Pelodiscus sinensis: one gene and its partners. The protein of the gene in region 1 purifies or fractionates together with the protein of each later gene. This does not show direct contact. Links are inferred from orthologs where the notes say so. Each region holds a gene or a part of one and is shown in the gene's direction. Other genes may lie near its edges.

Region 1 (7,635 bases):
TATAGATAGTAGTATAAACTGGGGATGTGAAAGATTAACCAATAACTGGTGGGGGCTGGAGCAGCTGCTCGCCTGCCATAGGCAGGTGGCTACTCCAGTCCCACAGGGGGCTGGCTGTGGACAGGAGCTGCTCTCGGGCAGAACATCCCCCCATCCATGGCAAGCCTGGGCACCTCACAGGCAGGGACTGCACCAATGTCTGGAGCAGCCACTGTGCGCGGGGAACCCTGTCCATCCTCAACAGGGGCTGGCGGGGCTTAGGGGCCAAGAGCTGGGAGCCAGTAAAAGCCCCAGCCCCTACCCAGATACTGCTTAATTAGTTAACCAGTTAAATGTTAGATTAACCTAATGTTTAACCGTCTAATTAACTGGGATTTTACATCCCTAAAATAGTTGTATGAAGGTTGAGTTTATACTGACTTTGCTAGCATTTTTTATGTAGCCTGTTGTAAAACTAGGTGAATAACTAGATATGTTGATGCACCCTCTGAGAGATTATTCCATATCTTCAGGATTACGTATACATCTGGTTCAAAACCAGTGGGTAAGTCAGGCCCAGCCTTAGGGCAAGGTGGGCAACGCAGTTGCCTTGAGCCATGTGCCTTCAGGGCCCTGCACTACCCAGTGCCCGCCCACCCGCTCACTACCCTGGCTGGGTGCTGCCCAGCCACGCAGTGCAGCCAACCACAGCATGCTGCCTTGGACCCTGCAAACTCTTTTGCCGGGCCTGCGTTAAGTAATATCACTTATTGGATCCATCTCTTACTGGGTGATACACAAGCTTTTAAATTACAGAGCTTTTCTTCTGGTCTGGGAAATGTATTCAGTGCCTCAGCTATATACAAGTTGAAACAGATTGTTCAGCACAAGTAGTTAGTACATATTTCAAGGGACCATTCAAGGTGAGGTGGCCTATTAACTCGGGATGTAAATATTAGTTTAAAAAGTTAACCATTTAAACAATTAAAATTATATCATTTAACTAGTGAACTGAGATTGCTTCGGTGAGCTGGCTAAGAGTAGCCAGGACTGGCGTTCCAGGGTACGTCTAGACTACAGGCTTTTGTCAACAAAAGTTTTGTCAACAGATACTGTCGACAAAGCTTCTGTCGACAAAGAGCGTCTAGACTACATCCAGTTCTGTCGACAAAGCAAGCCACTTTGTCGACATGACAGTGTGGACGCAAAGGACAGTGTAGATGCAATAATGCCTTCTGTCGACAAAACTCTGTCGACAAAAGGTGTTATTCCTCGTAGAATGAGGTTTACAGCTGTCGACAGAACTCAGTGGCAGTGCGGACGCAGGTATAGTTTTGTCGACAAAAGTGGACTTTTGTCGACAAACCACTGTAGTCTAGACACACCCCCAGTGGGGCTGGCCAGATACAGCCCACAGCTGTTCTAGGCTGGCTGGCACTCTGTGGATAGGGCTGGGGTCTCACCTGCAAGCCATGGACAGGAGTGAGGCTACTCCTGCCCACTGCAGCTGGGACTGCAGACATGTTTGAGGTCCTGCCTATTACCTACGGATGGGGCTGGGCTGGGGCTGCTCCAACATGGCTGTGACCAGGATCCTGCCTGCCTGTTCCATGGCAGAGGTTCTGCTAGCAGGCCTGACCATTGTCTCTTGGGTCCTGGCTGGCCACTGTGGTTGGGGCAGAAGCCCCATGAGTTATATTACCCACTGCAGCCAGGGCCCTACCTACATGCTTGAAGTGGCCAGGGCTAGGGTCTCTGGCTGGCCAGCCTGATGTGGCCAGGGTTAAGGGGTAAGATCTGGTTAACAGTAAGCCTAGTATCAGTTAACCATTTAAACTTTTACATCCTATTATTAACACCCTTCATGGTACATTAAGGTAAAAAATTTCACAAATGACCATAAACATAAAAAATGTCCAGTTCTCTACTGTTGTTATTATTGATACAGCTTCTTCTATGGTAAGAGTGCTGATTTTAAACAGTGTGCTGTCTACATCTGCTCTGAGTAGATTTAGATGACATGATGGTTAAAACATGGGTTGGTCTATACCTGTGCTCCTATATTCACTATTTTTTAAGCTGCTACAACCATAGCAAGAGTGGGAAATTAAAACAACAACAACAACAAACAGCTAGTGAAGCCCTGGGCCCTTCTTGTCAGAGACACCATTTCATTTAGTGGGTGTTCATCACTCTGAAAATTAAGATGTGTTTCAGGCTGAGAAGAGGAAACTAGAACTCCAAGAAATGTTGGACTTTGTCTTTAATAGGATGAATAGTATGAACTTTTTTTATCTTGGCCAGTTTTATTCACAAGATGCATGGTGTTACATAACCACCTCAGGTACCTATATAAGAACAGTCATACTGGGTCAGACAAAGGTCCATCTAGCCCAGTATCCTGTCTTCCAATAGTGGCCAAAGAGAGGTGTCCCAGAGGAAGTGAACAAAACTAAGGATGTTAAATTTTGATTAATTAATTGAATAGTTGATGGGATTTCCATCGACTATTCGATTAGTCGATAAGAACTTCCACGTTCCTCCTTTGAAATGTACAAGAACCCCAGTGGGAGCTCTTGTGCTTTTCAAAGTGGAAGCCCTGGGGTCAACGGGGGACCCCTGCTAGGGACTCTTGTACATTTCAAAGCTGGCATGCCACCTGGAGCCTGGTCCCAGGCTCTATGCAGCATTCCAACTTTAAAATGCACAAGAACCCCAGTGGGGGCTCTTGTGCATTTCAAAGCGGAAGCGACCATGTGGAGCCTGGGGCCAGTGTGGGATTCTGAGTCTCCCACTTACCCCAGGCTCCATGTGGCACTTCCACTTTGAAATGTACAAGAGCCCCATCAGGGACTCTTGTACTTTTCAAAGTTAGCTGCACTCCTGCCCCCTTCCTCGGAGCTAGAGGGAACCAGCTTTTAAGCCGGCTCCCTCCAGCACCCGCATTCTCTTCCCTTCCCTTGCTGCCTCTTTGTGATAAAGGCAGCAAGCCGGGGGGGGGGGGGGGGGGAAGAGGAGGGGAGTGACTAGTTGACTATTTGATAGGCTTTTGCTTATCGAATAGTCAACTGGTTGATTAGTCACTTACAACCCTAAACAGAACAGGATCACCAAGTGATCCATTCTGTCGCTCATTCCCAACGCTCTGACAAACAGAGGTTAGAGACACCATTCCTGTCCATGCTGGCTAGTAGTCATTGATGAACCTATCCTCCATGAATTTTATCTAGTTTTCGAACCCCTTTAAAGTCTGGTCTTCACAACATCCTCTGGAAAGGAATTCCATGTGCTGTGTGAAGAAATACTTCCTTTTGCTTGTCTTAAACCTGCTACCTATTTCATTTGATGACCCCTAATTCTTGTGTTATAAGAACAAGTACAGTAAACTTCCGATAATCCGGCACCTTTAGGACCCAGGGGGTACTGGATTATCAAATATGCCGGACTATCAGAAGGGGGGGGCTATGAGGGGTCTGGGGTGGGGGGAATGCCACCCCAGACCCCTCATAGCCCCCCCTTCGGATAGTCCGGCTCTGCCCCAGGGATCCCCGATTCAGACGCTGCTGATCAGTTTTAGCAGCAGCTGAATCGGGGACGTCTGGGCCAGAGCAGCTGGGGTGCTGCCAGGTTGGTCCCGCAGCGCCGAGGGGCCACGCTATGGGACCAACCCGGCAGCACCCCAGCTGCTCTGTCCCCGGCTTCCCCGATTCAGTTGTTGGTCATTTTCAGCAGCGGCTGAATTGGGGAAGCCCGGCACAGAGCAGCTCCAATTGTCCGGCTGCCCGGAGCACTTCCGGGTTCCTGATGGTGCCAGACCATCAGGAGTGCCAGAGCTTTGGATGCCGGACCAATGGAGTTTTACTGTACATAGATTTCCTTATTTACTTTCTCCATGTCAGTCATGATTTTATAGACCACTATCATATAAGAACATAAGAACGGCCATACTGGGTCAGACCAATAGTCCATCCAGCCCAGTATCTTGTCTGCCGACAGTGGCCAATACCAGATGTCATGGGGGAGGGGGGAACACAACAGGTAATCCTGATGTGATTCCTTCCTTGTTCCTGTCACCCACCTCCAGGGAAACAGAGACTAGGAACACCATTCCTACCCATCCTGGCTAATAGCCATCGATGGACCTAACCTCCATGAATCTATCTAGCTCTTTTTTGAATCCTGTTAAAATTCTAGCCTTCACCACATCCTCTGGCAAGGAGTTCCATAGGTTGACTGTGTGCTGAGTGAAGAAAAAACTTCCTTTTGTTTGATTTAAACCTGCTGCCTATTAATTTCACTTGGTGACCACTAGTTCTTATATTGTTTGTTGACTAAAGATTTAATACACCTGTGTTTAATGATGTTCAAAATTTGAATGTATATTCTAATACAAATAGCAAATTATTAAGTGTGACTTAGTAGTTTTCTTATTTTTGAGTCAATTATGATTTTTTTTTTTAGGCCCTAAATTTTTCATAGGCCCTAGGCACTGTGCCTACTGGCTAATCTGAACAGAATAGCAAAAGAATGACAGCTACGCTGAAACTTGCCAACCCTCCCTGATTTGCCTGGGGTCTCCCAAGAATTAAAGACTAAGCTTGAATGAAAGATTACAGGTCATGTGATGAAGTCTCCAGAAATCCGGCCAACCTAAACTGACAACCCGGTGCCTAGGTCAACTAAGGCCGCTTGAAAAACATGGAGCGCCTCAGTGCTGCTCCTTCACCGGGCTGAAGTAACGCGGCTGGAAACCGCTCCCAGCGGGGTCCGCGGAGAAGGGCCGGGAGGAAAGACGCCGAGCGGGGCGCTCCCCGCTGCTCGCCCTGGGCCCCGTGCTCCCAGCCTGCGCCAGCCTCGAGACCCCTTCGCTTTCTCCTGGGCCTCCAGGGGGAGCCCAGCGACGCCTCCTCTCACTGTGTCCCCGGGCCGGAACTGCTCTCCCGCCCGCCCCGCCGCGGAAGGGTCCGAGTCCAGCCAGGGGCCGCCCCGCAGGCGCCTCCGCTCCCCCGCGAATCCCCTGCCCGGCCGCCTCGGGGGCCATCTTGTGCGCGGAGCCGGCTGCAGCCGCGGCCTGTCGCCCTCCCCCTCGCCAGCGGGGCGGGGTTGATGGGGCCCCCGGAGCCGGGGCGCCGCGGGGGGAGGCCGGGCTGGCGGTGACTCTCCGCAGCCGCTGCCAGCAGGCGGCCGAGGCCGGGCAGCGCGCAGGGGGCGGCCATGGCCGGCGAGCCGCAGAGGAAGCCGCACCTGCCGGCGCTGGGGGAACACACCAACGGGCTCACCAAGCCCGCCGCGCTGGCGGCAGCCCGGGCCGGGGGCGCTGCTGCCGCCGCCGCCGCCTCCAAGAAACTCGTGATCAAGAACTTCAGAGGTGGGCCTGGGCCGGGGAGCGGGCGGCGGCTCGAGGCGTCCCGTGTCCAGCCCCCCTCCCGGCCGGGCCCCCGGTGGACCCCGCGGCCCTGACCTCGGCCCCCTGCTGCCCCCGCCCCTTCCCCGCTGAGGGGGCCGCCGGGCCCGGCTGGGAGGGGCCCTGGCTGCGGGCTGCTGCGCACACTGACAGGCGGGGGAGCCAGCCCAGGTGCCCGGCCCACCCTGTGGTTTGGGGGCGCTGTGCAGCCTCCAGCTCGAGCCCCGGGAGCCCGTGCAGCCTGCACCCTCTGAGAGCAGCGCCGCTCCCGAGGTGGGGTGGTGTCGGGGCTGCTCTAGTTCCTTCCTCCCCAAGAAATAGGTGCCAGGCTGGGTTTGCTCTGGAAAGTGACTGTGAAAAGGCCTTAACTCCGCTAACTTTTGTCTCAACAGCTACAAGGGCTCTTACTCAGCCTGCTCCTATGTATAGGCAGTGACTTTTTTTGGCAGACAAGGGCCTGATCCTGTAGCCCCAAGGAAGTTAATTCAGCTGACTTACATATGCGAGGTTCTGAGCCTAGGGGCCCTAGCATTGCCAGATGGTTTCAACAAAAATACTGGACACACTTGACATTACATCACAATCTACATTACATCTTATTTAGAAAATACCGGACATTTATACTTTCTCATTTGTATTTTCTCAATTTGTTTCCTTAACAGAAAGCTCAAATACTGGACTGTCCGGTTCAAAACCAGACACCTGGCAATCCTAAGGGACCCTCATCTGTTGCTCCCAAAGACAGGCTAATCTTACCCAAGGGGCTGGAACAATTTTTTGTAGTTAGGAATGTGTATGATGGAAGCCCTGTATTTGGTGTTTGTTGTTAATAGTCATAGCCTGGGATGCCAGAGCACTTCCATCACTTCTGGTTCCAGCATCACTGCTACTGTCTTACAGATAGGAGATATGATAAGGATGTTAAATATCGGTTAATTGAGCAGTTGATTAACCTCATGAGTTCTTTTCGATTACTTGACTATTTTATAGTCCCCAGGAGCCGGGCCAGCAACCAGCGTGCTTTAGCCCCACTCCTGAGGAGCCCCTTGGCAGCAGCGTGGGGTGCCAGGCGGGGGCTGGTCCATGAGGGAGGCCAGTTTAAAAACCATCTCCCCTCACTGACTGGCTGCCTGTCACCCTGTGCTGCTGCTTCTCACACAGAGACAGCAGCGCGGGATGGCAGCAGCCCCTGACTGTGCGTGTGTGTGTGTGTGTCTGAACTCCCAGACCCAGTATGAGCCGGAACTGGGCCAGTCTGCCTGCCCGCCTGGCTCCTAATACACTTTAAATTCAGAGCCACAGAGGGGGTTGGTTCCAGACTAGTGAAAGCCTGGACTGAGCTGGGCTGCCTGCCCACCCGGCTACTAATACACTTCAAATGCAGAGCTGTAGCAGGGGTTGGTCCTGGACCCAGCACAAGCCAGGACTGAGCTGAGCTGCTAAAAAATTTACTGTCGGGGTTGGGGTGGGGAATGCACATAGTCTATAGCAATTATCTATAAGCTTTTGCTTATCGATTATTGACTATACTATTACACTCCTAGGAAATGAGGCATAAAAAAGTGAAGTGATTTGTTGATGGTCACACAGCACATCAGTGATGTAGATGGCAACAGAACCCAACCATTCTGTCAGACAAGTCCAGTGTCTGGCTACTGTACTGTCTTAGTATTGCCTTTTCAGCTAAGTGATGCAGTTTCTGTATAACAGTTTGTGTTGCAGTCTTTCTAACGTTTCAGTTAAGAGCAAGTTCTGAAATCAAATATATGTTATGTGTAGAAAGTTCTATTACATGCAGTGTAGTTAGAGATAACGTATAGCAATGGTTTGGCGGTCAGATACTTTTTAAAGAAAATATATTGAAATAAAACTAGTATAGACAGTGTTAAAGCTAATTAAGAATGGTGTCGAAGATGTTGCAGTAGACCAAACTAATTTGCTAGAATTTGGAATGCTAAATTAAGCTTTATTAAATAAAAAAATCTTAAATTGTAATACTTAATTAGTCATTAGTGCATTCTGAAATAGTATTCTTGGACATGTTTAACAAATGTTGTCCAGGATCATGCAGGCTCTTCTATCTGTGCAGATGTATTTTATTGGGGATCTGTGTATGTGAAGAGGAGCAGCCCATGTAAAACAACTTGTGGCAGCTGGGCCTTTGTATGCACCATTCTGAGATAAAAACAGCCCTTAGTGGCTTTTGCCAATGTTATATGGTATTGCAAATATTCCTTTTTTTTTTTTAAATC
Region 2 (7,774 bases), on another chromosome or scaffold:
TGACCTAAGGCGCTACATAACAATTATTGTTCCATCACACACACAAACAAAAGCACAGGATTATTATTTCCTGCCCTGCAAGAGTACAGACAAATCTTGAAAAATGGTATTTTTCAAAGAGCGTCTATTTGCTATATTTAGCAGCAGGAGTTAACATTTTACCATCTGAATACATTTAATGCTGAACTTACAGCCTCTGTGGAACAGACATTGGACAGGCAAGAAAAACATCCCCAAATCTGCAAACCAGCATGTCTCTGAAGGACCTCATCCTAGCACTAAGGTGGAGTTAACCCTTCCCTCCATGCTCAGATTACAGGCAACCCCCAAATTCGATGCGATCAGTTCCTGGGGAAGCGTCACAAGTCAGAGGCGTCGTAACTCGAACCCACATTTACAATAGGCGCCGTGCACGGTCGTAAATGCGGGCTAAGGACGTAAGTCAGGGGGTTTCAGCCCCTTCCACACTTACAAAAATGGTTGTAAGTGCGGGGGGTTGCAACTCGGGCAATCGTAACGTGGGGGTTTCCTGTAATCGTAGGCCTCTCTAATGAGACTGCCCACTAGAAGATGGGTCAGTGCCAACCGTGGCAGTGGTGGTTTTGAAATAGATACTGGTCCACTAGTATCTAGACTGAGACCCACCAACTAGTTTCACATAATTATAACAAACATCTGATGGTAAAACTTGCCCTCCCTAATAATTTTGCCACACTTACGCAAATAGACAAGTGAGTTTGCACAGAACTTCACTGAAGTTGATTAGGTGCTGCATGGATCCACCCGTGTAGAGCATTATTTTGGAATCAGGGCCTAAGGCTGGATTTGAACCAATTGAAATTTGAGAGGCTCTTTAGCTCATTGCCAGTCCCGTGATATCTCTAATTCTAGTCTTTGTCCTCTCCCATTCTTGAAGTTAAACATACTACGTAAGGCTCTTTAGACGATAACAGAATATCACTTCCCTTTTTAATTACAAGAAAGGAACTAAGGGCACTGCGGATTTTTATGCTAAGTTCAAGCATGGAGTGAACCTAAAATATTGAAATTCAGAACTTCAAGTTGTGCCAGACTGAGCAACAAATTATCTTGATAGCAGCTATTCAAAACAGCTTCCTACTTTAAGAGCCAAAGTCTTTTGTATCTCACAGCATGAGGCAGAAGGAAAGCTTTATCCCCAAGCTCAACACAATGTGAAAATTAAAGCAATAAGTCTTTCAGATTCCCCTACACTTGGGTCGAAAATTAGACTTGGCTGAGAGAAATTATCAGCATGAATTTTCTGCAGACAGCTTTTCCCATCCTAAGAGTGGACTAGCATGTTTATGAACACACATTCTTAGCTAATCTTCTCAAAATTAGTAGATATTGCTTTTCAGAATGACATTAGCAATGTGACTATTTTGAAGTGGTTTTATTTTTAAGACATCTAATGAAATAACACCTGCAATAAAAGTCTCAGCCGGTTCTCAAAACATTAGTATTTACAAAAAAGCGTATTACATTTTTAATCTGAGATTGCCAGTAGAAGGCAGCAGCACTAGAGACTGAAGTCGACTTTACCTCCCTGTCAATGCGCATCAACTCTAGCATAAAGGAGTGAACAAAAATAATGAGCCCAGAAGCCAAGATCACGAGAATGGCTTTAAAAAAACCCATCACTCTGGCACTGCCCCTTTTGATGGCCCTCGGGTCTCATTTCCGTTTCTCTCTCTCTAACCTACATATTCTTTAAACGCTCTACCGAGAATGCCAACAGGAGGTCAGTGTGAGACAGCTGTGACAGTAGTGGGTTTTGTGATGTGGACATTTGCTCTCTATGAACCAGAGTACACAACACAAGCTCATTTTACATTGGTCACTTAGTTTTACTGCCTGTATCTAGGGTTGATTCTGAACTGAAGATTTAAAAATGAAAGGCTCTCTATTATCTCTCAGTATCTTGCACCATTCATGTCTCCCACGCTTCTTTTGTGACCCTAAGCAACACCACACATACCTCTCCTTGGAAGACATCATAGAGTTCAGGTAAAGTCTCCATTGCCTCAGGTCTCACAGACTTCATTTGGGAAGTTTTCTAAGAGTATGCATTCCACAATTCTTTCCCAACCTTTATAGCTTACTTTGTTTCCATGTATTAGATGTCCCATTTATTGCTGTGGAGCAACCCTATTCGTAGCTGAAATAAAGAAAGACACCATTTATTGAAAGAAATATCTTCATTAGTGATAAAAGAAATAAACTCTGGGAAAACTTTTCAGGGATGGTTTTTATCTGCACTGCTTTCACTCTCACTAATTTCTAAATATCTGATACCATAGGGTAAGTCTACACAGATGTGTTATTTCAGAATAAGTGATGTTATTTTGAAATAACCAAATACGCTTCTACACAGCAAGACATTATTTCGAAATAATAGCGAGCTGGAAGACTTCTCACTCTGACTCCTGTAACCCTCATTTCACAAGGGCTGTGTCTACACTGGCACCCTTTTCCGTAAAGGGGATGCTAATGAGACTCTTTGGAATTGCAAATGCCGCAGGGGATTTAAATATCCCCCATGGCATTTGCATGAACATGGTTGCCGCTTTTTTCCGGCTCGGGGTTTTGCCGGAGAAAAGCGCCAGTCTAGACGGGATCTTGCGGAAAATAAACCCTTTTCCGCAAGATCCTGTCTAGACTGGCGCTTTTCTCCAGCAAAACCCCGAGCCGGAAAAAAGCGGCAGCCATGTTCATGCAAATGCCGTGGGGGATATTTAAATCCCCTGTGGCATTTGCAACTCCGAAGTGTCTCATTAGCATCCCTTTTACGGAAAAGGGTGCCAGTGTAGACACAGCCAAGGAGTAAAGGAAGTCAAAAGAAGAGAGTTCTTCCTTCGTCTACCTGCTGTGTAGACAGCGCCAAGAGACGAATTAAGCTATTTTGACTAGGGATGTAAGCGACTGACTACCTGATAAGCAAAAGCTTATCGGATAGTCAACACATTAGTCAACTAGTCACTCCTCCTCCCTCTCCCTCTCCCCTCGCTGCCGCTATCACAAAGAGGCAACAAAGGGTTGAAGAGGAAGGGCGCTGGGGGGAGCCAGCTTAAAAGTCAGTTCCCCCCAGCTCCAGCTCCATGGGATGGGGCGGGGCACAGCAGCAGTAGTGCTTTCTTTTTTAAATGTTCAAGAGTTCCAGTAGGGGCTCTTGTGGATTTCAGAGACTGAAATGCTGCATAGAGCCTGGGGTGGACTCCGAGTCCCCCACTGACCTTAGGCTCCATGAGATGCTTCCTCTTTACAATGCCCAAGAGCCCCCACTGGTGCTCTTGTACATTTCAAAGGTGGAATGTGCACTAGTCCTTATCAATTAAATCCCATCAACTATTCAATCAGTTAATCAATATTTAACATCCCTAATTTCAACTTCAGCTACACAATTGACATAGCTGAAGCTGCGTGGCTTAATTCGACTTTTGTGTAGATGTGTCCATAGTGTCTTGTGCTCACACTATACGTTATGGCAGTGTAATCAAGTGGATAGAGAACAAGTTGAGGAAACAGACAATCCGAGTTCTTCAATGATACAGTTCCCAATAACTTTCAGTACAATTATGAGCAAGTTACTAAACTTTATGCCTCAGTTTCTCCCTGGATAAAAGGGTGCTATGATATATTTCAAAGAGCTTTCTGCAGTAGGGTATGTCAGAAGAGTACCTCAAAAACACTAAGTATTCAAGTACCTAGGCAGATACAGCAAAATATGAACACGTGACTATAAACTGGCTCTGGATAATAACTAGCCAATTTTGCCCTATTCTCAGAATTCAGCCTCACAGACACTTCATTCCTATTTCACAGGGGTAGCCGATGGCCTCAGAGGGGTAGCTGCGTTAGCCTGTAACTTTAAACACAGTCAGTAACCCTAGTCTGTATTTGGGAAAATGAAGAGTCCTGTGGCCCCTTGTAGACTCCACGCAGCTGACCAAGTGGTTTTTACTCAGGAGAGGTTACGCCAAAATAAATCGGTGACTCTAACAGGAGTGTGGAACTTTGGGGGGGGGGTGGCGGCCACGGACCCACAGGAAAGAGTCAGTCGGGAGCCGCACAGAGATGAGCGGCCCCAAACCCAACAACCCCTCACTGCTGGGCTCCCCACATCCCCCTCGCGCACCAGAGCCGGGGGGGGGGGGGGCAGGTTGTGTACCCGTGGGAGGGGCCGGGGGGGGCCGCTCTAGGCTCCCCGCCCCGCTCTGCGAGGGGCCACCGGGCTCCCGGCCGGCTCTCCCGCCGCTGCCCCGGGCGGTTGGAACCCGCTCGCGCCGGGACACAGGCCTGACGCCAGCGGGCGCGCAAAGGGCCCGGCCTGCGCCTGGACGCGACGCTCAGCGGCTCCCGCGGGCAGAAGCAGCGAGCCCGGACCGCGAGCGGGGCCTGCCGAGCGCGGGAAGGGGAAGGGGCTGAGGCCGCGCCGCCCCCTCACCCGCTCAAGGGCGCCGCGGCCGCCGTCATCCCACCTGCACCCCGGTCCCTTCGAGCTGAGGAAGCTTGCGCCCGCCAATCACGGCACGGCATACTCGCGCGGGGTACTTACGGAGCCAATGGGCGCGCCCGATGCTAGAACTCTCCGGCGAATCCCCTAGCCAGCATGGCCAGCGCTGCCCAATCAGCACGCTTGGCGTTCGCAGCCAATCAGAGCGCGGCATCGCGGCCCAATGGGGGCCGGGCGCGGGCGGAGCGAGGCCTAGCGCTGCAGGACGCCCGAGGCCGAGCGGCTGCCGCGGGCCGGGATGATCGAGCCGCAGAAGCGCAAGGGGCCGGTCCCGGAGCTGGCGCTGGTGGCGGCCGCGGCCAAGCGGCCCCGGCATGAGCTGCTGGGGCCCGGCCCGGGCGGGGCGCCGCCCCCGGGGGCCCTGCTGCAGGCGGTGAGCGCGGGGGGCCCGGGATGGGCCGGGCCGCGTCCCCCGCGGGCGGTGACCCCGAGGCTCCCCGGAGGGGCGGGGGCCGGGCCGGGGGGGGCCGCTCAACTCCTGTCGCAACGTGGCTCCGCCTCTTTGGGTCGTTCGTAGCCTCCGCGCTGAACTGACACCGGCCTTGGTGTGACTCGAGACCAGGCCTCTTGCTGCGCGGGGCCTCCGCCTCCCCATCGGAGGTGGGGCCCGTGGCGGGCGGGGTGTGAGACGCGCTTTGCCATTATTATTATTTTGTGTGTGTCAGAAAAGTGGAAATATGACCCGAGTTAAAACTAGTGAAGGAGTTATGGGAGGGGGGGTGTTTTCTGGCCTGCTCCCCCACACCGTCCACCTTCTGGTTCAGAGGTTTCATTAGCTCATTATTTATTATTCTGTTTCATTTCTGTCTGCATTCCCTCTGTGTTTTAGGGCCCTCCACGCTGTTCTTCCCTCCAGGCACCTATAATGCTGCTCTCGGGGCATGAAGGAGAAGTTTACTGTTGCAAGTTTCACCCTAATGGAGCAACTTTAGCATCTGCAGGATTTGACAGACTGATCTGTGAGTTTGTAATGATCAGTAGTTTGTGCTATGAGGGTGGTTTGTTTAAAAAATAATAATAATAATAATACACTGCTGGTGTAAACTGCTTTCCATTCATTCAAGTGCAATGGAGTGACTGAGCTGCTGAGAGCAATGGGGTGAAATGTTGACAGCAGGCCAGTAATGAGCTGTGCGCTTTTGAGCATATTTCAAAAGCGTTGGTAACCTCTTTAATGCCCTAAATCAGCAGTTCCCAACTGCTAGTCCGTGGACCCCTGCTTACCCTGCCAGGCCATGCCCCCAGCTCTGCTTTCTCACAACACTGTACTGTGGGATACATACTCACAGTGCTTTGCTCACACTGTCAATGACAGTGCCCTCAGCGTGAACATGCTCTGTCAGCAGAGGGAGCAAGTGTGAACACCCTCTAGGCAATTTTTGTTTTTATCAATTTTTGGGTGTTGATATACATTTTGTTAACAAAACTTGGTAATGTAGACATACCCTAACTCTTGTAAGAAGCCACATAGTATTGTTACAGTTAGAGCTCTGCAAATCCATGGATATCTGCTTTATATCCCCTGGTATCCACATCCACAGATGTGGATGCAGATATCTGTGACTCATTTTTATGAACGCAGATATACATTTTGGATTCCTGTTTGTATGAATATGGATTTAACTGCAACACTGTAGTTATGGGTTGCACAGCCATACAGGACTATAAAGGGATGAGAAATCCTTCTCCATAAGGACAGCTTGATGTGGGACTCCTTTCATATCCCATCTAATCTGTCAGCTCTCTACATTTAAGAAGGATACAAAATGAAGGGTATAGAAGAGTTAAAACAGATGTTTCTATTTATGCTTATTCATAATACAGGAGCAAAGATGACATTCAGGTTTGTTGAAAGGAAATACTTTTCTACACAATGGATCATTAACCTCTGGGACTCACTGCAACAACATGCTGTTCAACCTAAGAATGTACTAGGGCAGGGATTGTCAACCTTTCAGATGTGACATGCCAAGATTTAATTTATTCACTTCTATTTATGGATCTGTGTGCCACTGATACTTTTTGAAGTCAATAATAGTCCTATTTACATTTTAGCGGCTTCATTAATAAATAAATTAAGATGCAGATTTTTCTGTTTAGTGTGATCCTTGGTCTTGCTTTCCCTTGCTGAGTTCTCCTATTTCAGGCCCTATAGCAATCAGTTAGCCAGTAACTCTCACATTTAGGATTAAAATCCTACTGCTCATATGACTCGGGTTGTGGAACACATTATTAACCAACCGCCTCTGTCTGTTGATGGGGCGCTCAGAGAAGCGAAGTTCCCTGCACTTTGTCAGGGATGGTGCAGCAGCTGGCCTGGCAAGTGGCAGCTGAGGAACAAGTTAATAAGGGTGGCGGCCATGGGGAGACATGGGCCTCCCTACCCTTCCCCCAGATGAGGAGAACTTTCACATCTTCTGTTCCACATATTTAAAAACCTATTTAAAATGAGAGTTTGGCGATTATGCTGAATATTGTAAGTGCTTCATTTTAGTGAGCCCAGGAAGTGTAGCTGTGATGATGTGGGCGTAGAACATAGTTTTATGTGTATTTGGTTTCTTTCCAGTGCTATGGAATGTGTATGGGGACTGTGATAATTATGCCACTCTGAAGGGACACAGTGGAGCAGTTATGGAGTTGCACTATAATACTGATGGCAGGTAAATATCAGATGAAACTGACTTGAGCTGTCATTAGCCTACCTTGATGATGTTTCCAAATGAACTCTGTGAAATGTTTGGGGAGAGAGTTGGTATGAAAAGCTGCTAGATGAAGCCAGTAACCTTTGGATAAAACTTGTAAAAGGTACCTGCAACTGGCAAGTGGGGAACTAGCTGCTGGTGAATGTAAGTTGCTTTACAGCTCCTCTTCATTGCTTCAGTGCTCACCTGGTGGCTCTGAAGAGAAAAAGCAATGGTGCTCTTTGAATGGCTCCCCCTCCCAGAAATAGCTCCACACGCTACGTCTGTTGTAGAGTGCAGGAGCAAAGAGTAGAACCTAAGTGGCAAGTTCCAAGGCTCATGGATGGGAAGCAGATCTAAAGCCAGGCGTCCCGTCCCATCCCGCCCCTAGCAAGTGAATCTGTGGGAAAGTGGATGGGAGAGACAACGAAGGAACAATTCAGGATAAGAAAAGGAAAACTAGGAAGGCGATGTTGGCAGCTTTCCAGATTATCCAATGCTATCTGAGGTTTTTACAAAAGAGATGGCTCCCCCTCCCCCATCATCCTGAGCAGGGTCA
Region 3 (7,545 bases), about 49 Mb from region 1:
GTGGGGGCGGAGGGGGCTCTTGTGCAGAGACAGAGAAGTGGGACCAATGGCTGCTGCTGCTATATCCCTTTAAAAATGCAGTGTGGCAGCGGGGCAGGAGGGCTCTTGTGCTGAAATAGAGAAGCAGACGGGCGGCCACTTAAAAATGCAGAGTGGCAGCATGAGGGTTGTCTGAAAGCCCACGGGGGACCAGAGAATGAACCTATCTTTGTGCACTGGCTCCTCTCTGTCCCTTTAAGACTGTGTGTGAGGATGATCAAGTAGTTGATAATGCTACAGGATAAGCTCCTGCTTATCGGGTAGTCAACTACTTCACATCCCTAGCAAGAAACCTAGTACAAACTGCCTGATTCCCCAGCATTTAAGAAATGTGTTTCTTTCCATGAGACTATATCCATCTTTGACAGTCACTCTCTCTCTGTCCATTGTCACAATGAATCGCACATCCCTCAGAAGTATGCTCACTGTAGCAACCTAGCCAAGCATGACAAATTCCTATGCTTAAAGCTGACCCTGAGGGGAGAAAAAGTAATCATTTGAGCCGGACTCCAACGCAGGACAGGAAACCTGCCCTTCAGGTGACTCCTTGGGCAGATCCATGTTATCCAAAGAGAGCATCCGATCCTCCAAAATGCAAGGAAAAGAGCCATTACTTCCACTACAAAGAGAACCACATAAGTGGTCTCCTACCAGGTTACTGTCCTCCATATGGGTGAGCACCCCCTTGATGTACCTCTGGCACCATCCACATGAGAACCTTTGCTGTGCTCCACCAAAAGGAAAAGGAGTCCAAGCACATGTCCAGGCAAGTCTCCTCCTCTATATCACTGACAACTCTGGTGAGAGAGACAGTGCTGAAGCACTCACCATTGGCCATGTACTCACAACAGTCTCCAGCAGCTACATTGGCACCAATTAATAAAACCATGATGGCACGGACCACTCTGAGCAAGATGACACAAGTCATCTATATAGACACTAGTATCATCTAAATCAGTGCCATCAACATCAACAGTGCCGAAACTGCAACAATTCTTACAACATATAGGCTCCTCGGTGCCAGTCACCCCTGTTTGGCACTGATGGCTCTCCCAAGCACACTAGCATTGCCCATCTTATAAGAACAGCCATACTGGGTAAGATCAAAGGTCCATCTAGGTCAATATCCTGTCTACTAACAGTGGCCAATACTAGATTTCCTGGAGGGAGAGAACAGAAAAGGTAATCACGTGATTCCTCCCCTGTCATCCATTTCCAGCCGCTGACAGAGGCTAGAGACACCATTCCTAACCATTCCGGATAATAAGTATTTGATGGACCTAACCTCCATGAATTTATCTAGTTCTTTTTTGAAACCTGTTAAAGTCCTGGTCTTCACAACATCCTCTGGCAAGGAGTTTCATACTGTGTGAAGAAAAACTTCCTTTTGTTTGTTTTAAATCTGCTACCTATTAATTTCATTTGGTGACACTTAATTCTTATGTTATGGGAACAAGTAAATAACTTTTCCTTATTCATTTTTTCCACACCAGTCGTCATTTTATAGACCTCCATCATATTCCTCCCCTCCACCCCCACACACTTTAGTCTCCTCTTTCCTAAGCTGGAAAGTCCTAGCCTTTTTAATTTCTCTTCATATGGGATCCATAGCTAAATTAGTACTCAATTTTGTATGTATAGTTGGGATTATTTTTTCTAATGTGCATTACTTTACATTTATCAACATTAAATTTCATTTGCCATTTTGCAGCCCAATCACTTAGGGTGTATCTACACTGCACCGTAACTGGAAATAAGATATGCAATTTGAGCTATGTAAATTGTGTGTCTTATTTCAGTGCTATTTCAAAATAGTTTATTTCATCATTTGGTGCTGTCTATACAGTGCCAAATTTCAAAATAAAGTGCTATTCCGAAATGTTCCTTACTCATTGTAGAGTGAGGTTTACAGGGACATCAGAAGAGTGAACTTGAAATAATGGGCTTGCTGTGAAGACATGGGATAGCTATTTTGGGATACTCTTGTATCCCGAATCTTGAGCAGTTTACTATTATTATTGTATTAGGCAAAAAGACCAGTGAACAGGAAAGTCACTTTTTTGTCTCAAAACTCTTCTCTCAGAAGAAAGTCATTTTTTGTGTCCCAGCCCCAGCACAATCTTGTTGGCCGATCAATGGGAGCTGCTAGGGCTGTGCTTGAGGCACAGGCAGTGTGAGGGGGCCCCCTCTCCAAGGGGTGCACGGCACACAGAGAATATATGGCCCCTGCAGCTGGCTGCCTTGAGTGGCGTGCAGGAGGCAGGGAGCCTGCCTGAGGGTCCCATTGAGATGCTGGCCAAGAGCTGCCTAAAGTAAGTGCCTCTTGGCCAGAGTCTGCACTCGACAACCCATCCTCTCCTGCACCCCACCTACTTGCCCCAGGTCACAAACCAAACCCTCTGCACCCCTGTCCCAGGTCACAACTCCCTCCCAGACCATCCATTCCCTCCTATATACCCCTTCGCCAGGTCAGAATCCTCTCCTACACCTATACTGCTCCTTGACCCTCCACTCCAATCACCTGCCCCAGGTCACAACCCCTTCCTGACTTGTGTCACCCAAACTCTATATCCCCTCCTACACCCTTGTATCAGGTTTCAGCCCCTGAACCACCTCCTACCCTCCTCCAGTTTAGAATTCTCTCCTGCACCCATATCCCCTCTTAGGCCCAGTACCCTCTCCTGCACCCCAATCCCTTGCCTCAGTCACAATCCCCTCCTTCATCCAAACTCCCTCTCAGACGGTACACTCCTTCCTGCCTCCCAGTCTTTACCCCAAGCTCCCTTCTGCACCCAACCTCCATCCCAGATCCCACACCTCCATTAATATAATGGAAGAGTTCGGCCCTTGACCACTTAAATTGTTGGAGTGACCCCACATCAAACATTTTTGCCCACCTCGATGTACATGACGGAGTATCATCCATTTGAAGATATAACAAGAAAGTGCAACTTGATTGATGAATATTTCTTTGTGTGTTGTATCCTGTAAATAATTTAACCTCATACTTAACTTTGCTTCATTTATTGTTGCTGTTTGGTTCCAGTTAATATGTTATTCAGTACAAGTTACTCCTGTTGGAATCCTGCAACAGTATTATGTCCCCAAATGCAACAACTGCAGAATTCAAACAGGAATAACAAGTTTATGTTGTATAATTCTTCTGGAACCCATTTTGTTAGCAACAACTAGTGTGAGAAACATTAAAACAAGAATATTACTAATAATAACCCAAGGTCCAGTTTAATTATTGCTTGAATCCTTTGTAGATCTCTAAACTGCACTGTCAAATTGACTTCCTATTTCTGAGGCAGGCCAAAGGTGATTTTATCCTGATGCTTAGATCTATAAGAAACAGAAGGGAAGATCTGTCTGTGGCTAACAGGTGAATTTCTCCTTTCATTCTCTGAATGAAATAACACCATGGTGGATGGAGTGGTAGCAGCCTCATGGAAATGCAAATCGTGTTTTGTTAGTCTTTCAGGTGCTACTAAACTATTTGTTGTTTAAGTTTTTCCTGTTACAGACTAACTCTGCTACCCCTCTGAAGCTTTGGAAAATATTTTTGACACTTCTGGGGAATTGCCTGCTGTTGGTAACCCCCACTGGCAAAGCACAGCACCACCTATAGCCCTTAAATAGTCCTTAAAACATCACCAGCTTTCCTGATCCGAACCTTATTTGTAAGTTCTCATAGCCAAGCTGAAGGCAGCGTTAAGGGGAAAGGTGCTAAGCAGGAAGAGAGAGTGACCTGAGCATCTATGCAAGACAGAATGTCGGGGGGGGGGGGGGGGATTACAAACCCTCTGGGCTCTTAGCTAGAAGCCCAGCCTAGGGCGGCGCTTGGCCCACCTTGAGCTCTCGGAACCGTCAAGCCAGAATCACCCTGGAAACAACACGGGGCCCGAAGGGGTCCGAGCAAGGCGGGGTCCTTCCTGCAGCCGCCCGAGGCGCTAGTTCAGCGTCGGCGGCTCCTGCGCGGTGTCTTGGGGGCGGAGGGGAGGCTCGGGGCCCCACAATGGGCTGCCGGACTCCACATGGCGGAGGGGAGCTGCCGCCACAAGCGGGCGCCTCCTGCCTCAGGGCCCCGCAGATGGAGGCGAGGGGGGAGCAGGACGGGCCCCGCCGCCGCGGTGCAGCTGCCGCAGGATCCGGCCACACGCGCCCCTCTAGACTCCAACTCCCCCCCCCCCCCCCATTTCGCCAACGTAAGGACGTTCTCTCGGTGACTCATCACGCCCTCCCTCCATCCGCCTCCACGGCCGGACCTCGTTTTCTCCTGCGACCACAGCAGCGACGTCCCTTGCGCCGCATTAGATCCAGCACCCATAGGCCGCCCGCGGGCTGTTTTTCCCCTTTGGTGCGATCAAAGAATACAAACATCCCCGTCCGCCGTCAATCCCAGTCTCCCCAGCGAGGGACTATTTTTTTTCGTCCGCCTCCTTCCCCCGCCCCCCGCGGAGGACAGCCTCGGTGCCGAGGCGAGTCGCTCCGCGGCAATGGCGGCGGGGCCGAGGCTGAGCTAGCGCGAGGAGGGGCGGGGGAGACGGGCGCTCGGTGGGGGAGGAGGCGCTGAGAGGATTATGCCGAACCGGGCCCTGCCCGCGCCACACGCTGCCTGAGCCCGACTCCCGCTGCGCCGCCCCCGACATGGCCGAGCCCTCGGCCGCCTCCTGCTCCCCCGGCGGCTCGTCCCTGCCGCTCATTGAATCAGGTAACAGCGGGGCGCGGGAGGGAGCCGGCCGGGCGCCGCCGGTTCCTGCTGCTCCCCCGCCGCCATCTTCCTGATCATGATTATGAATTATAGTCGCTGAGGGGCTCCCCCGCCCCGAGCTCATCGCTCTCTCCGTCTCTCCCCGCAGAGCTCTACTTCCTCGTCGCCCGCTTCCTCACCACCGGGCCCTGCCGGCGCGCGGCGGAGGTGAGTAGAGCCCGGCAGTGCCCGCCCGCCTGCCGCCGCGGCGGCTGCTGCTGCCACCCAGGGCTCCGGTGCCTTCCTGGCCCAGAGCCCTGTGCAGCTGCGGCGGCAGCAGCAGTAGCAGCCGCGGAAGAGTCGGCGAGTTTGGTGGTTTCCTCCCCCTCCCCTAACTCGTGTGCATCTGTTTCTTCCTTCCCCTGCAGGTGCTGGTTCAGGAGTTGGAGCAGCACCAGGTGCGTGCGTGTGAGACGCTCTGATGCCTTCTCTTCTCGCCCTTTCCCCTTTTTTAAAGCCACCTATTAAAAACAAATGAAAAACAAAACAACACACATTGTTTTGATGTTGGTCTTTCCACTCTTTTAATCACACTTTTTTTTTTTCTTTCTCAATCTAGTTACTTCCTAAAAGGTTGGATTGGGAAGGAAATGAGCATTGTAGAAGTTATGAAGATTTGGTGAGATTTAAAAAAAAAAAAAAAAACCTTTTGAATTAGAATAACAATGTTAGATGCTTCAGTTAATAAAAGAAAACCTGCAACAATTATTTTATCCTGAGTCTGGCTTGATACAGGAGGCTGATTTTTAGAAGGGGTATTTGATTTATTTACCTTAAATTACCAAACAAAAACATAAGAGGTTAGAGGTGTTTTTAATTGGAGGATATTGTTATGTAGCATAGGCGGGACTTGTGACTGCCACTAGACCTTTTTCCTGCCTACCTATGGGGAAGAGCCAATCTGTTAAGAGGCTTCATTTCTGTGTTTCACTAGGAGACTTGTTAAAGAGGCTTTGATTGGACAGTGTTTATTTTCTTACTGGTTTCCTTCATCTGCTGATTTCAACAGATTAAGAGAAAACAAAATCACTAGTACAGAAATTGGCATGTGGGTTTGTAGTAGTCTGTTTTACTGGCTATAGTTTGTTGTTGTTGTTAATCAAAATATTCCAAAAGATGCCCTTTGGTTCAGGGCTGCACAACTTGTGCCAAATTAATTGCAATAAATGTATTTACAACAAATTCAGCATATAGATTAACTGTTTTTGGTGTTCTGTCTTACTATTTCTAAAATACTGCATGATGTGTGGCTACGTGAATACGAATTAAAGGGAGGACAACATTTATAGTTTACTTATATTTTTTTAAAAGATATATATAGTTCCAAGTAATAAACCTGCCTCAGAATTCCTCAGCTAATCTTTGGAGTTTTACAATAAAATTCTGTTTTTCTTATGCTTTTCCATACTTTGACAAAGTACAGTGGTATATAGCAGAAGGTATAGGGGAAGGCATGAAACTACGTACACAGAATTAAAAATGGAAAAATATAGGTTAAAAGTGAAAAGATAGCTACAAATGTAATTTTGAATTTGGCAGTTCCCTTAATTGAGCAAATTTATATAGTGCTGCTTTAAATCAGGATAGGTCCTGCTCCCTTTATTTGCATGAAGTCAGCAAGGTTACTTTCCAAGATCTGGCCTAAATTTAGGTAAGCACAGTAAGTTTTCTTCTAAAGGATGTTAAGCCCAATTCTTCTGCAAAAGCTTTGATGCTGGCAAACTCCTATGCTGAGTCCCATTGACTTTGGTTGGGCTGTATTATGTGTGTGTCTCCCTCCTCCCCAACAACAAAATCCCCATCTGTGCTGCTAATATTTTAAGTAATAAAGCTTTCTATTTTTAAAAAAATATTTGCCATTTATGCTGTTTAGGTACTTAAAATAGGCTAATCAGTTGCATGCTGTTTGGGTTCCAGGAACAGCTGGCCAGTGTTAAGGCTCAAATCCTGCAATGTTGACCATTTCGGTGTATCCCTTCTTATATGTGAAGTGCTTATTACAGAACTGCTCTCTCAAAAACTCAAAGCCGACAATTAAAAAAAAATATCATTAGGCTTCTTAAAACTTCCTTTAACAAAACTTATGGTAGATATAAATTACATGAAGGTACAAGTATTTCTTATAAACTGAGTTTTGTAAATGTATTTGAAGGTGAAAATTAAGCTTTCTGCTTTGAAGAAAGTTTGCCACATCTTAATATAAACAGATACAAGAGTACTGACCAAGATGCTTCAATCACTGATGAAAAAGATGTAAATGTACTTATTGGCGTACCAAATACTGTTTAGGAATCAGTAACATAATTATCTTATATATTCAGACGTTTGTGTGCAGTAACACTGACTCTTTTCAGTGAATTCATTTCTCAAGACTTCAGACACAAAGTAATTCATAGACTTTATTTCAGTGTTTGATTATTCATACTTTCTTTTCAGGCCAAAAAACAATATAAATGTTAAGTTTTAGAATTTTAAAATGACACTAACTTAAAAATCCAGTACTGCAAGTCATTTAATTAATGCCACTTACTGTCACTAATAATAAACATTCTATATAAATGTCCTGTTTATTACTTTTTATTTATGTCTGTTAAGTCAGTTCCACTATCAGGTACTTAGTGCTTCAGTATTTGGGCTTTAAACACTGCAGGGGATTTCTTAAAATTTCAGTGTTAAAAGTCATTTTTATGTTTAAATTAAAGTGAATTTTCTCTTCTAAATTTTATATATTTTTAAAATAAAACTTTAAGCTA
Region 4 (7,097 bases), on another chromosome or scaffold:
CCAAACTGTTTAGGATAGTCAAGACAGAAGCAGACTGTGAGGGACTCCAAGAAGATCTCACCAAACTGAGTGATTGGGCAACAAAATAGCAAATGAAATTTAATGTGGCTAAGTGTAAAGTAATGCACATCGGGAAAAATAACCCCAACTATACGTACAGTATGATGGGGGCTAATTTGGCTATGACAAATCAGGAAAGAGATCTTGGAGTTATTGTGGATAGTTCTCTGAAAACTTCCACACAGTGTGCAGCGGCGGTCAAAAAGGCAAATAGAATGTTAGGAATTATTAAGAAAGGGATAGAAAATAAGACACAGAATATCTTACTGCCCCTGTATAAAACTATGGTATGCCCACATCTTGAATACTGTGTACAGATGTGGTCTCCTCACCTCAAAAAAGATATTTTGGCCTTGGAAAGGGTTCAGAAAAGGGCAACTAAAATGATTAGGTGTTTGGAACGGGTCCCATAGGAAGAGAGGTTAAAGCAACTAGGACTTTTCAGTTTAGAAAAGAGGAGACTAAGGGGGGATATGATAGAGGTATATGAAATCATGAGTGGTGTGGAGAGAGTGAATAAAGAAAAGTTATTTATTAGTTTCTGTGATGGGGGGACTCACCCCCACACTCCCGGACTCGGGAACCGTGGCCCCGTGCCCTGCGCGGGGGGTCAGCTGGCGCTGGGAGACCAGCGCGGCGAGGCGGCACAAGCAGCAGAGCCAGGGGAACCCGGCGCAGGCCACGCGCAGGTGCGGATCAGCCGAGAGGCGGACCGACGGGTGCTAGGACCCGAGAGGTCGGGGGCAGCCCGAGGAAGGGCGGGGGCCGGCAGGACGCCAAGCGGGGAATTCAAAAGGGAGGAGGGAGGGACGCCAAGAGGGGAGGTAAGGAGGGAGCAGGGGAGATTCTGCTCTCGGCCTGCTCCACAGGTCCAGCGGAAAGACCGGACGGGACCAACACCGGACCAGAGCCTGGAGAGGACCTGACCGACGTGGGCGGCTGACGCCGCAAGACGGGAGACGGCCAAGGGGATCCCGGCGGCAGGGACATCTGGGAAGCCGGCGATCCGAAGCGGCGGCGCAGGGATCCGGACGCAGCCGAAACCTGCTGACGAGGCCTGCGGGCTTGTCGAGAGCGGACCGCAGGGAGTGGACCGTGGTAGTGGTGAGGTAGAAGCCGGGGACAGGGGCGAAGCGGAGCAGGAGCCCGCGGACTGGTGGCGCCCTGCGACCCCCTAGCAGGCCACCTGGTTACAGTTCCCATAATAGAAGAACTAGAGGACAACAAATGAAGTTAATGGGTAGCAGGTTTAAAACTAATAAAAGAAAGTTCTTCTTCACACAGCGTGTAGTCAACCTGTGGAACTCCTTGCCAGAGGAGGCTGCGAAGGCTAGGACTATAACAGAGTTTAAAGAGAAGCTAGATAATTTCATGGAGGTTAGGTCCATAAAAGGCTATTAGCCAGGGGATAGAAATGTGTCCCTGGCCTCTGTTTGTCAGAGGTTGGAGAAGGATGGCAGGAGACAAATCACTTGATCATTGTCTTCGATCCACCCCCTCTGGGCCACTGTCGGCAGACAGGCTACTGGGCTAGATGGACCTTTGGTCTGACCCAGTACGGCCATTCTTATGTTCTTATGTTCTAACTTGTTAGTCTTGCATGGATTAGCTGTGTAAGAATATTACACGTACCTTTGAAAGTGCAAAGTTTAAGAAATCCTAAGGATAGCATAACGGCCAGCTTTGCAAGCCACTTGATCCGTTTTGGTAATCCTTCTGGGGACAAACAGACACTTAGAGCAGGCGGGAGAGGAGGGTATGGATGCAGAATAAGGCAGCCAACCCAGATGTCATATTTAAATTCCAGGGCAAAAAAAGAATTAGCATGAACCTGGTTTACACTGTGTTTCTTTAAAGAAAATTCAAAAGCTATTGTTTGCCAGGCTGAAGCAATTATTCTGAAATATGAGTCTTTCCCTTATTGTTTTGGTCTATACTTATTTTTATTTCAACAAAACAAGTTATGTACTATATAAAAATATTTAAAAAGTACCTTAAATTTATATTTTAAAATGATAAAAAATATTATAAATAAGCAAACAACAATTTCACTCGTCAGATTATTGTATTATATTCAAACAAGACCTGAAAAAATATCTAATATATAAGGAGAATGTTTGTATGTTTGTGTGCTAATAACGTGGCCACTGTAAGAGCTACTGCAACCAAACTTTCCATGGGATTACCTTTCCTCCAGGAGAAGGTTTTAAGGTACTTTTGGCAGTGCAGGGAGAAGCGGCTTCCCAGGGTAAGCGGCAGGGACAGTCACTCACTAAGGCCGGCGGCGGAGGTGCGAGGGGAGGGGCAGCGCTCTGAGCGGCAGCTGTCCCACTCGCCTCTACCAGGCCATTCCACTGCGCAGGCCTGTCCGGGGCGGGGAAGCCCCCTCCTCCATTCCTCCTGTGATGTCACTCGGCCCGGGCCCCTCCCCTCCAGCGGTGGCCAAGGGTTGCCGAGCGGTGGGCTGAGGCTTGCGGCCGCCGCTAGGGGGCGGTTGCAGGTGCAGTGGGGCGAGCCTAGTGGGCAGGTGGTGGCAGCGCTGGGATGGGCCCGGGGTCTGACCCAATTTCCTGGTCGCAGGCTGTGGAAGAGGGGAGCCCCCAGCACGGCCCCATGGTGTGGCAGGTAGCGGGGTGAAAGTTTCGTGGTGAGTGGTGGGGTCATTGCCCCCTGCAGCACCTGCAGCCTCGGGCACGAGCTGGGGCGCACCGCCCACTCTAGGTCCCGTGCTTGCCCCCTCCCATACATTTACTAGGTCACAGTTTCTGACCCAAGAGTTCTCAATCTAAGAAGATGAGCAACTTGCACATGCTGGGCGGGGGGGAGGGGGAGGAATACAACACACAAAAGTATCCATTTTCCCCACAGGCCATTCCTCATTGGCAATGTCTTATAGGCCTCACAGTAGAACTAGTAATGTGGACGCACCGCTTACACATTCAACCTGGGGGGGATTTTTCGGACTAAGATCCTAGTGTAGACCAGGCCTAGGTATGTTCCATGTATAAAGTGAAGCAAGAATAAGAGGCAAAAATGGTTGCTGAGGAAGCATACGACTGAGGGGCTGAAGTTGGCTTCTTTGGCCTAGCAGATGGGATGTGAGCATGACATAAGCAGAGACAAAGACATGAGCTGGAAAAGGCAGTGCAATGAAGATCCGTGAAGGTGAGGACAAGAAGCCTGAATCGGATGCAAACTGGGCAGCAAGTGGAAACTGGGCAGCAAGTGGAGAGATTCAAAGAGAATGGTGTTTTGCAAGGCCATCCCTACCAATGCACAAACTACACACCAAATTGCCCGGAATTTTGTGGTGCCCTAGACAACTGCGTGCTGTGTATGGGCCAGTGCTGGCTCTGGCAGCCAACACCACCCCCAACTGGCCCTCTCAAAGGCTGTGCCAAGCAGAGCCATCTCTAGGGGCATGTGGGGCTTGGGACAGCCACTCCTCACCCCACCCCCCTATCCCACACTCACTCCACTCCTTGAACCCCTATCTATGCTCTGCCCCCACCCTACCTCTTTCTGCCCCGCTCCGCTTCTTCTTCCAAGCTCCTTCCCATGAGCAACACAGCCCAGGGCAATAGTGGGAGCCTGGCACCGGCAGCAGGCGTTCCCCCCAAACACACATCCAGCGGCAGAAGGAAGTGAAGCAACTTGGCCCCAGCCCTGTTAACTCCATTTCCTACCGCCGGTGAGTGCAGAAGCCTTTCCACCCTTTCCCCGAATACCCTGCCCAGTGATGTGGCTGAGAGCTGGGGCCGGGTCACTCCACCTCCCAGTGAATGCAGGGGCAGGCCTGACTCCTGGTGCTTCCCTGCCATGCTCCTCACAGCTCTGGGCCTGCCCGTATCAGCTCCTGCCCTCCCTCCCAAGGGAGACTGCCTAGGCCACCCAATAGTCTAGGGGCAGTGTCATTGATTTCAATGGGGTGTGGATCGGGCCCCTTGGCGTGATGGCTCCGTGACCTGGCTAACAGGCTCCTGCCCGAGCAACTGCCCAACAGCCGCGCACATTCTAGAACTTTCCCCCCAGGTCTCCATGACCCCGCTGCCCGACTCACTGGTGACGTGACTGCCGATTTACAAGCGGGGCTCCCGGCCAGGCACCAATGGGAAACAAGGTGAACTACCCACTGTCTAAAGAGGACCCGGGCGGCAGTGCTGCGAGGAGAGGAGATGATGTGAGTGAAAGGATAATGCCGATATTAAAAGATAAAATGGATTAAAAGAGTAAAGCCATGATTTGCTGGCTGCAGACAGCAGCGCAGGCAGAGCCAAAGGGCTATCACCGCAGAGTCTGTTTAAAAAGGGAAAGAAACAGCGGGAGATTTTGATCTCTTTTTTTGTAATATTGGAGCTTTATTGAGCTATTTCTCCACATTCAGCATCATCCAGCTATACCGGTCTGCAGCTGAGGCAGGAGGTTTCATGACTCCAGTCCAGTCAAGAGGCCATCTGGACTGATCTGTATAGGATCAGCTTGGGAGGAAGTGATGCTATCCTATTCAGATTTTGTCCTCGGGATCAATCCACAATCCTCAAAGTAGGTGCCATGTGTTTGCAAAAATAATCCATGGCAAATATCTAGTAATTAATATTAAGAACATAAGAATGGCCATACCGAGTCAGACCGAAGGTCCATCTAGCCCAGTATCCTGTCTTCCGACAGTGGGTGATGCCAGGTGCCCCAGAGGCAATGAACAGAAGAGAATCATCAAGTGATCCAGCACCCCCTGATGCCCATTCACAGCCCTGACAAACCGAGGCTTGAGACACCATCCCTGACCACCCTGCCTAATAGCCATTGGTGGACTTGTCCTCCGTGAATGTATCTAGTTCTTTTTTGAACTTTATTAAAGTTTTGGCCTTCACAACATCCTCTGGCAGGGAGTTCCACAGGTTGACCTGTGGAACTCCCTGACAGAGGATGTTGTAAAGGCCAAAACTGCATTGTGTGAAGAAATACTCCCTTTCATTTGTTTTAAATCTGATACCTATTAATCTCGTGTGTTGATCACTAGTTCTTGTGTTATGGGAAGGAGTAAATAACTTTTCCTTATTTACTTTCTCCACACCACTCATGATTTTATAGCCTGCTATCATATCACCCCTTAGTCATCTCTTTTCCAAGCTGAAAAGACCCAGTCTTTTTAATCTCTCCTCATACGGAAGCTATTATGTATCCCTAATAATTTGTGTTGCCCTTTTCTGAACCTTTTCCAATTCCAATATCTTCTTTCAGATGATACGACTACATCTGCACATAGTATTCAAGTTGAGGACATAGCATAGATGTAAAAAGAGGCAATAAGATATTTGCTATTTTATTTTGGATCCCTTTCTTAATGATTCCCAACATTCTGTTTGCTTTTTAGACTGCAACTGCATATTGTGTAGATGTTTTCAGAGAACTCTCCACAATGACTCCAAGATCGCTCTTTTGAGTGGTAACATTAGATGATAGGAATCAAAAGATAAATCCCATCATTCCATTATTATATATATCCCATCATTGTAGACAGGTAGTTGGGATTATGTTTTCCAATAGGCATTACTTTGCATTTATCAGCGATGAATTTCATCTTCCATTCTGTTGCCCAGTCACCCAGTTTTGTAGGAATCTTTTGCAGCTCTTCACAGTCTATTGCGGACTTAACTATCTTGAACGATTTTGTATTATCTGCAAATGTTGCTGCTTCACTGTTTACCCCTTTCTCCAGATCATTTATGAATACACTGAATAGGATTGGTTCCAGTACAGACCCCTGAGGGAAACTACAACTTACTTCTATTCTAAAAACTGATAATTTCTTTCTACCCTTTGTCTCCTATCACTTAACCAGTTACCAGTCCGTGAAAAGATATTCCTTCTTATACCATGCTGCTCATTTTACTTCAAAGTCTTTGGTGAAGGACCTTGTCAAAGGCTTTCTGGAAATCTCAGCACATTATATCCATTGGCTTCCACATGCTTGTTGACCTCCTCAAAGAATTCTAATAGACTAGTGAGGCTTGATTTCCCTTTCTAAAATATGCTGACTCTTCCCCAACAAATTATGTTCATCCATGTGTCTGACAATTCTGTTCTTTACTATTCTTTCAAATAGTTTGCCTGGTACTGAAGTCAGACTTTTTCTGGCGCACTCCTTTAGCATATCAATTGACCAGTGGCCCCACTGGTTGTTTAGCAGGCTTCCTGCTTCTGATGTACTTAAAAAAAATTGCTATTACTTTTTTAGTTTTTTGCTAACTGTTCTTCAAATTCTTTTTTGGCTTTCCTAATCATATTTTTACAATTCATCTGCCAGAGTTTATGCTCATTTCTTTTTCCTCATTAGGATTTAACTTCCACATTTTAAACCAGGCCTTTTTGTCTCTCATTGCTTCTTTTTTCTTGCTGGTAGCACCTTTTTTTGGTTCTCTCACTATGTTTTTTAATTTGGGTACACATTTAAGTTGTGCCTCTATTTTAGTGTCTTTAAAAGTTTCTTTGCAGCTTGCAGTGTTCGCTTTTGGCACTGTACCTTTTAATTTCTGTTTAAGTTCCTCATTTGTGTGTAGTTTCCCTTACAGGGTTAGGCTGCTGTATTGTTTTCCACAGGGATGTTAAATCTAATTATATTATGTTCACTATTACCAAGTGGCCCAGCTGTAGTCATCTCTTGGTCCAGATCCTGTGCTCCACTTAGGACTAAACCAAGAATTTCCTCTCCTCTTGTGGGTTTTAAGACTAGTTGTTCCAAGAAGCAGTGATTTAAGGTGTCAAGAAACTTTCTCTCTGCTTTTCATCCTGAGATGATATGTACCCATGCAATGTGAGAGTAGCTGAAATCCTCCATCATTATTGAATTGTTTATTTTACTATTCTCTCTAATTTCCCAGAATATTTCACAGTCAGTATCACCATTCTGATTGGGTGGTGGGTATTACCATCCATAGAATTTCTGTGTAACAGTTTGGTTCATTTAAGATGTTTACTTCATTTGATTCTATGCTTTCTTTCATATATAGTGCTACTCCCCCTCCAACAAAACCTCT

What was found.
Region 2: the proteins of CUL4A (region 1) and SNRNP40 purify together in Homo sapiens (affinity purification with western blotting; 3 studies listed by BioGRID, with this or other methods). This does not show direct contact. The link is inferred for Pelodiscus sinensis from reciprocal best matches to the Homo sapiens genes CUL4A and SNRNP40.
Region 3: the proteins of CUL4A (region 1) and BRWD1 purify together in Homo sapiens (affinity purification with mass spectrometry; 3 studies listed by BioGRID and IntAct, with this or other methods). This does not show direct contact. The link is inferred for Pelodiscus sinensis from reciprocal best matches to the Homo sapiens genes CUL4A and BRWD1.
Region 4: the proteins of CUL4A (region 1) and COPS7B purify together in Homo sapiens (affinity purification with mass spectrometry; 8 studies listed by BioGRID and IntAct, counting the BioPlex papers as one, with this or other methods). This does not show direct contact. The link is inferred for Pelodiscus sinensis from reciprocal best matches to the Homo sapiens genes CUL4A and COPS7B.

What each region holds. Positions count from the first base shown.
Region 1 is NC_134711.1:237,496,957-237,504,591, reverse strand, and holds the start of CUL4A (cullin-4A), read left to right. Parts: upstream 1-4,629; 5' UTR 4,630-5,193; coding exon 5,194-5,347; intron 5,348-7,635. UniProt on the Homo sapiens protein: Core component of multiple cullin-RING-based E3 ubiquitin-protein ligase complexes which mediate the ubiquitination of target proteins. As a scaffold protein may contribute to catalysis through positioning of the substrate and the ubiquitin-conjugating enzyme.
Region 2 is NC_134735.1:17,396,201-17,403,974, reverse strand, and holds the start of SNRNP40 (U5 small nuclear ribonucleoprotein 40 kDa protein), read left to right. Parts: upstream 1-4,769; 5' UTR 4,770-4,772; coding exon 4,773-4,907; intron 4,908-5,363; coding exon 5,364-5,493; intron 5,494-7,100; coding exon 7,101-7,194; intron 7,195-7,774. Other genes in the region: ZCCHC17 (zinc finger CCHC domain-containing protein 17), read right to left, coding at 2,000-2,065. UniProt on the Homo sapiens protein: Required for pre-mRNA splicing as component of the activated spliceosome. Component of the U5 small nuclear ribonucleoprotein (snRNP) complex and the U4/U6-U5 tri-snRNP complex, building blocks of the spliceosome.
Region 3 is NC_134711.1:188,051,981-188,059,525, reverse strand, and holds the start of BRWD1 (bromodomain and WD repeat-containing protein 1), read left to right. Parts: upstream 1-4,540; 5' UTR 4,541-4,689; coding exon 4,690-4,753; intron 4,754-4,901; coding exon 4,902-4,960; intron 4,961-5,160; coding exon 5,161-5,190; intron 5,191-5,351; coding exon 5,352-5,411; intron 5,412-7,545. UniProt on the Homo sapiens protein: May be a transcriptional activator. May be involved in chromatin remodeling. Plays a role in the regulation of cell morphology and cytoskeletal organization. Required in the control of cell shape.
Region 4 is NC_134720.1:49,896,278-49,903,374, reverse strand, and holds the start of COPS7B (COP9 signalosome complex subunit 7b), read left to right. Parts: upstream 1-4,092; 5' UTR 4,093-4,168; coding exon 4,169-4,240; intron 4,241-7,097. UniProt on the Homo sapiens protein: Component of the COP9 signalosome complex (CSN), a complex involved in various cellular and developmental processes.